Linked DNA regions of Danio rerio. The protein of the gene in region 1 interacts with the protein of each later gene in a pairwise test. Links are inferred from orthologs where the notes say so. Each region holds a gene or a part of one and is shown on either strand. Other genes may lie near its edges.

Evidence for each region.
Region 2: the proteins of zfyve27 (region 1) and fkbp8 interact in binary tests that used the Homo sapiens proteins (3 or more experiments, as listed by UniProt). The link is inferred for Danio rerio from reciprocal best matches to the Homo sapiens genes ZFYVE27 and FKBP8.

What each region holds. Positions count from the first base shown.
Region 1 is NC_133176.1:58,370,253-58,374,621, forward strand, and holds the start of zfyve27 (protrudin), read left to right. Parts: upstream 1-1,562; 5' UTR 1,563-1,690; intron 1,691-4,369. Other genes in the region: si:ch211-196h16.5 (NLR family CARD domain-containing protein 3), read left to right, coding at 1-71, 185-209. UniProt on the Homo sapiens protein: Key regulator of RAB11-dependent vesicular trafficking during neurite extension through polarized membrane transport. Promotes axonal elongation and contributes to the establishment of neuronal cell polarity.
Region 2 is NC_133197.1:20,749,665-20,753,498, reverse strand, and holds part of fkbp8 (peptidyl-prolyl cis-trans isomerase FKBP8), read left to right. Parts: exon of another isoform or gene 1-38; coding exon 39-127; intron 128-427; coding exon 428-648; intron 649-3,834. UniProt on the Homo sapiens protein: Constitutively inactive PPiase, which becomes active when bound to calmodulin and calcium. Seems to act as a chaperone for BCL2, targets it to the mitochondria and modulates its phosphorylation state.

The DNA.
Region 1 (4,369 bases):
CTAGGAGTTTCAGGAGTGAAGCTGCTCTCTGATTTAAGAGATGATCCACATTATAAACTGGAGACACTGCAGTAAGTATTAATAATTCATAGATCATATAATAATCTCATGTGAACTGAATCAGCTGTACAGATGTGTCTCAGTGACGCTTGATAATGTGTGTGTTTCTGTGTGTTTTATTCAGTATCAGCTGGGGTTTTATATGTTGAATGTGGAGTCTCTACAGACACATTAAACTGTGCAGAAGTGAAGTGTCAGTGATCGTGCTGCTGGAGTTTATAAAGACTCTGCTGGACGACTAAACATCATCATCAGTGACTGAAACACTCCATCATTAATGTGCATCAGAGAAGAGGAAGAAATGCTGCAGGAACTGCTTTATTCATATCTGCTCACAGAGAAACTCAATGCTGCAGAATTAAAACACAAATAAGCGGATGCTCTTTCTGTTTCCTCCACCTGTGATGGAGCACGTCATGAAGAGAGAAAACCACGAGAAAACAGAGAAACTTTCTGTCTCTTCACACATGTGAGATGATTCTGGACAGTGTCGAGTGATTCAGCTTTCCTTCAGTCTGACTAAAGAGAAACAGCGGCATATTGAAGAGTGACATGATCCAGTTCAGGAGATAATTACTCAAGATTAAATCATTTATTCATAATTACATCAGTCACCATGTCACATGCACACATGTAAATATCTCACTAGTCAGGCTGATTTACACCTTTCACCTTAACCTTCACATTTCAGACCTATATTGTAAATTGATGTACAGGACATTGTTATGTACAGATGTACAGTATTGTTATATGAAAATTGTTAATATGAATATATATATATATATATATATATATATATATATATATATATATATATATATATATATATATATATATATATATATATATGAAAAATGTCATGGTTTATAATATGACAGAAAATGTATTTGTTATTTTTATGTAACTATTGTGTTTATAATACATATACGTGCATCCTCTAAGTTTTTTTTTTTTACTGATATTGTGCTCTATGTTGTAAACTAAAATATTAAATATACACATTATGCAATGTCAACAATTTTAATATTTCAGTATTCTTGTATTCACTGTACTCATGAAAGTCTACCTAAACAGCAAATGATATTAATAAAAGTGTGAATGAATCATATCAACCCAATTTTGTCAGCACACATTACGTATTGTGAACAGTTAACACGCTCAATTTTAAATAAAGCATTTAAATCACTGTTGTTTTCTTTGTAAAGTCAGCTAATTAAATTGTAATAAGCCTTATCGGAATTATAAGCAAATCTTGCTTATAAGCTTAGCATAGATATTATGGATATTATTATAGATACTATAGATATATTAATGCATTATGTCCAAACACTATAATTGGCACAAAAACAATCATCATAAAATATAAAAATAATACAATTAAAGTCATACATTTCCTGACTATCTAGGACTCATCGATGTGATCGGCGCTCTTTTCTCCCTGACATCATCGACTCTGGCATCAACACATCGTGCCTGTGAATTGCGGAAGCAGAAGTCGCTGCACATTAGCGAGTTTACCTCTTTTGTATGTAGTTTTATGTATGTTAAATGTTATATTTCTCATCTTTAATCGAATGATATACTTTTAATGACTCTGTAGCAGCAGAAGACGGTGTTTTGAGGATTAAAGGTAAGCCATTTTGTGTTTTTGTTTTCTTCTTGCTCATGTAAATATGACAGTATTTCTGTTTTCTGCCTTTATTTTTACTCTCATTTACTCTCATAGAGAAAATCTTATCTATTCTTGTTATTATTGTACAAACTGTCATCGTCAGATATTTATATAACGTTAAAGTATTTATCTAATTAGTTTGACTTCCGATTGTTTTCTTTCCTCTCTTGATTTGAAAGAAATGTTATTTTGTTTTAAAAGTAGATATACGTATATTTATTAAGTTTTTTTTAATAAAGCCGTATTTATTTTAAAACAATAATCATCTGATGACATATTAAAGAGTTTATTTACGAGTCTAAACTAGATTGATTTGTCAAAACAAATTTCAACTAAAAGGTAAGGATCTGTTACAGATATTTTATTAGTCTGTCCTGCTGTTAAGGTTTGTAGAAATCTTACTTATAAACTCACAGGTTTTTGTCAGAGAAAGTAAAAAACTTATTACATATTTCACACAAAAATCCTACGTAATGTAAGTTATGTTTGTTTGTTTGCTGATATTATTGTCTTAACTTTATTTATATTTTCTTTTTTCTTTCTGTTTTGCCATGAAAATAGCCTAACCGAACATTAAAAGAAATTATACAATACTATTTATTAAAAATCAAATCACATTGCAGACCCAAAATACTTATTAGTCATCATACATTTTCCTTTTTAATATTAATATTTTAAGGGGGTTTTCACCTTTTTTATTGGGATAGGATAGTGGAGGTTACAGACAGGAAAGCATTGGAAGCCGAGAGATGGGAAAAGTCGGCAACGGACCTCGAGTCGGGAATCAAACTCAGGTCGCCGTTAACACCTCAGTGCAATATGTCACTTAACCACTAGGCTGTTGCCGCCGACTTGCTTTTTAATTTTAACATTCCACTATCCTTGTCGTTGATCTGTAAAGATGACTTGTTCCTTTATTAATATTAGAGCTGAAAAATGATTAATCACATCCAAAATAATAATATAATTGCATCCTAAATAATGTGAAGTGTATTTACATATAGTTTATAAACTTTACAATCTATATTTGTACCTACTATGTATATGTAACCCTGCCGGTCCTACGCTACCCAACCCGCTCCGAGCTGGTATCGAACCGCGACCTTCCGCATGGGAGTCGGGTGCTCTACCAAGGAGGCTAAAGACCATGGCCTCTAGCGGCTGTCGCTAGAGCACCTTTAGAGGTCAGAGGAGTGAGGTTTACCTGCACAGCACACACTAGCTGGCCTCCGCTACACTCACCCCCTAAACCTCACTCCCAACCGGGTCACGGCACCAATGTAACCCCACCAGTCCTGTGCCACCCAACCTGCTCCGAGCTGGTATCCAACCGGCGACCTTCCGCATGGGAGTTGGGTGCTCTACCAAGGAGGCTAAATACCATGGCCTCTAGCGGCTGTCGCTAGAGCACCTTTAGAGGTCAGAGGAGTGAGGTTTACCTGCACAGCACACACTAGCTGGCCTCCGCTACACTCACCCCCTAAACCTCACTCCCAACCGGGTCACGGCACCAATGTAACCCCACCAGTCCTGTGCCACCCAACCTGCTCCGAGCTGGTATCCAACCGGCGACCTTCCGCATGGGAGTTGGGTGCTCTACCAAGGAGGCTAAATACCATGGCCTCTAGCGGCTGTCGCTAGAGCACCTTTAGAGGTCAGAGGAGTGAGGTTTACCTGCACAGCACACACTAGCTGGCCTCCGCTACACTCACCCCCTAAACCTCACTCCCAACCGGGTCACGGCACCAATGTAACCCCACCAGTCCTGTGCCACCCAACCTGCTCCGAGCTGGTATCCAACCGGCGACCTTCCGCATGGGAGTTGGGTGCTCTACCAAGGAGGCTAAATACCATGGCCTCTAGCGGCTGTCGCTAGAGCACCTTTAGAGGTCAGAGGAGTGAGGTTTACCTGCACAGCACACACTAGCTGGCCTCCGTTACATATACATTTCTGCATGTGAATATAACTGCATGACTAGATTGTAAAAGTGCAATTCCAGCGTTACAGATGTGATGCTTGCAGTAAAATCTCAAAACATAAATTTGCAGAGAAAGTATATGTTAACATTATATTAAAACATCTGTTTATATTTTCTAAAACAACTCACCACAGAGTTACGGGATCAGAAAAATACAAATCTGTAAACATGCTTTATATTTTAAATGAGGAAAATAAACATGCGCTATGGATTTGACTAAGCATGGGCCGGTATAGATTCTGACAGTATGATAACCTTGAATAAAATTATCAGTTTCACAGTATTGTGATTACTGCTCTTAAATATGGTCTCTTTGAATGTCTGGGTAAAAAAACAAAAACTTTTTTCCCCTTTTAAACACAATATATCTTATTTTGAGATTTGAGAAACATTTAAAATATTTTGCAGAAGTAAACATGTCAGACTGAATATTAGTATGAATATTATATGAATGTTTGGTCATTTATTCTATATTAAAAATGAATTACTGACTTCTGCTGTCTTCATTAGTTTCAAACGCACAGACTTCTTTACAATTTAAAACCGCATCTTTGCATATCTTTTCTGATGGAGATACTCTTGTCCTAAAAAAAAAAAAAAAAAAACATTTAAAAAAAATCTTACACATACCTTTGGAATGGTGTTACAGTAAATGTTG
Region 2 (3,834 bases), on another chromosome or scaffold:
AACAACATGAAATGCTTTATTGTTTCTATCTTATTTAGGCGCTGGATCTCACTGTACAGCTGATGGAAATGGGTGAAAAGGCTTTAATTGAAGCGGCTGCTAAATATGCATATGGTGCCCTTGGCAGGTTAGATTCAGTATACTTGTATCCATTTATAAGGCCTTGATTCTGCATGGTATCAAAAAGAAATTAGACAGAATACATTGTGAATATTTATAACCATACATATATTTATATATCAGTATCAGCATATATTTATCTATCAGTATCTTCTATTATTTATAATAAAAAAAGAAACTTTTTACTCAAACACACAGCAATAAACTGCAAATTCTGAGACACTGAGTATATTCTTAGAGAGAATTGTCTCTTAATTTTGTTTATATATTTACATGTCTGTTTTTCATGTTGGATGTTCTCCTTCAGCTCTGCTCCTGCTGTTCCTCCTGATGCTGATCTCCTCCTGGAGGTGCAGCTGTTGTCTGCTGATGAAGCCCTGGACCTGGAGCTCATGCCACCGTCTGAGAGGATCATTCTGGCCAACAGGAAGCGAGAGAGAGGAAACGTCCACTACCAGCGCGCCGACTATGCCTTTGCTGTCAACTCGTATGGAATTGCACTACAGATAACTGAAGCAAGTTCGAGAGGTAATGCTCCTTAAAGTCCATGTAAATCGGAAGTTGCTGAGACTTTTATTTCAGTGTGTTGATGTACTGTAACGGAATATTGATTAAGGGGCGGGGCTTTCTTTTTGGTCTTCATTTCCTTATAGCAAACTAACGGTAAAGAATATTGTAGGTAAAACGGTCAAACTGATGTTAGAAGTGAAAAGAGTCACTCGAAACACAGATCCTTTAATTAAAAACTTTCATTGAAGATTACTAAAACAAACTTTTTTTAAGTGGATTAACTTTAAGGATTAATAGTTCACCTAAAGAATAATAATGTGCGGTACCCAAATAAACATAAGGGTACTTAAGGGTATCGATTTAGGTGACCCGTTTGGTTTGATTAGACTCTTATTCACAAGCTCTCGATTTGTTTTCCTTTTAATTGAATACATTATTAATAGAAATGCTGTTGATATTCATTAAAAAAAAATCAGTAAACACTATTTCAGGTAAGCAATTAATGCCTAGTTCAGACTGTGTGATTTTAGCCCCGATTTTAGCTCGCTGACAGGTTTTTTAGAAATCGCCGACAAATGCCTGAAATCACAGGCAAATCGCTGCTCGTGCACGTGAGTGACAATCACACAGTATAAACTATCAAAGACGCGATCTGAGAAAATCGCAGATGAGTCGCCGATGCCTGTGAGATATTTGGCATGCTAAATTTCTGGAGCTGTCGGCGATTCAAATCATGCTGTGTGAATTGAGTTTTGACAGAAAATAACATCAGCCATCGCCTACAGCCAATGAGAGAGCAGCATTCACTTGTGTGTGCGTGTGTGTATACCTGCTGCAGGCCGGCGGGAGGCTGGGGGAGAAGTTAAAAGCGCTCTTTTTCGGTTTATTTGGACCCACGAAATGGAGGAAAAACTAGTGGAGCTTTGAAAGGACTCAGGAGCAACCGTGTCTGTTTGACGTTTCATACAGAAAAAATTAGTTTATTATTAACGTTCAGGAGAAATGGCTAATTCCCTTTAAACTGAGGTAAGCAAACATGTACATGTTCTACCCCATTAAAGCCTTCTTTCTCATTATGTAGTTAATAACAAAAGATATACGACATGTTTTTGGCTGTGAGACGTAGTTTGGACGAAGTTGTCGGCGGTTCTTCCTATAGTAAAGTCATGCAATATGAAAGTCCCTGTCGCCGATCCATCTTGCAGTGTAAACAAAGCAGCGACGAAACGCTAGCCCAGATAGTCATGCAGTGTGAAAACATCTGTGACACGACTACTTTGAAAATCATGCAGTCTGAACTCGGCATTAGACAATAATCAGACTTTGATTGAAGATTACCAAAACAAACCTTTCTTTTCAAGTGGATTTACTTGACAAATTAATAATTTACCTAAAGAAGAATCCAGCAAAAAATGACTTAATCGTATCGATTCAGATGACCCCTTTGATTTGATTCTGATTCGCAAGCTTTGTATTCAATTTTACATTGAGTACATTTTAAATACTAATGCTGCTGATATTCATAACAATTATCAGTTAACACTTTATTTTAGGTGCATGTGTAAATTAAAACAGAATTTCAGATGCATGAATTTTAGTCATAATATGAAATATAGAAGGGGTTTTCAAAGTCGGAGACAAGGAATTTTATTCTTTTTATTCATTTAACTTCGTATTTTGTAATTATTCTAAATAAAACACAGCAATGAAACATATTTAGTCAAGAGCAGTGAATGTTTTATTTGTATTTTGTTATTATTAATTAAAGTTAATATTATAACAGGCCTCGAAATCAACTTTTTTACTTCGTAGTGCCAGTGCTTCCAACTTCATATATTTAGGAGCACCAGAAAAAATTTAGGAGCACCCACGAAAAATGAGTGAGCACCACTGCATATTGTATTTTAAAAGATTTATTGTATTTGAAAACAACATCAATTAGGACAAACAAAAAAAAACAGAAACTGTCTAACTAATGCTGTGATTACTTATTAATATTTGTGCAATAACTTCAAAACGAATGAATGATGACGAAAATGACAATAATACTAGCAATGAATTACATTTCTCATTATCATGCTGTCTTGAATGTGCTTGAATGCAAGTTATTTGCTATCAAAAGTCTGTTACATTATGAAAAATAAATATATGAATTGCATTTAACAAAAATAAAGCATTGCAGTAAGAAATATACAGTTTGCACTATTGTTTTAATATGCATCTCAATTTAATAAATAGTATTTCTGCAACAAAACAAATGAAAGACTATAATAAATCATTCAATTAAATGCTGAAATTTGCAACAGTTTTTTTGTTAGTAACTAAATAGAAAAATAAAAAAAACATCTCAAGAAAGAATGGACAAAAGAAAGGAAGAAAAGTCTCAGTTCTACCACTCTAAAGGTTTTGGTTTGGGTTTTTGTCATTTTAAATGCTCAGTCTCGTTTTGCACTGATTTATATTTTACTTGATTTATATCAAGTACTGATTTATATTTTATTTTACTGTTTACTTTTTTACTCTTCAGCCGTTTGCATTTCCCATGGTCACAAAAGCTCCCTAACATCTGACAGCAGAAAGCCTTGAGTGATTGACAGCTAATATGAACCAATATAGCGGCAGGGAAGAGCGATTCAGCATGTCTTTAGAAAAAATTCTAAACAGGTCACACTATCCCCATTACATGCAGAGCACAAATGCTCCCAAATATCTTATGAGGTCGCATAGATTAAATTTCAGGCGCATATGCAACGAAAATGCTCGCAATTTTGAGCCTTGTATTAATAACTGCATAATATAATATATATAATAATTATTTATTAGAGATGCTCCACAACCAAAATTCTGATCTGAAACTGAAAAATTCTGGGTGCACTTGTCTGAAAACTGAAACCAAAGATGCTTTGTAACATTCATTTATTCATTTTCTTTTCGACTTAGTCCCTTTGTTAATCTGGGGTCGCCACTGTGGAATGAACCGCCAACTTATCCAGCAAATGTTTTACGCAGCGGATGCCCTCCCAGCTGCAACCCAACACCGAACACATCCATACCCACTCATTCACACACCACCCTCATACACTATGGTCAATTTTAGCATACCCATTTCATCTATACCACATGTCTTTGGACTGTGGGGGAAACCGGAGCACCCAGAGGAAACCCACACGAACACGGGGAGAACATGCAAACTCCACACAGAAA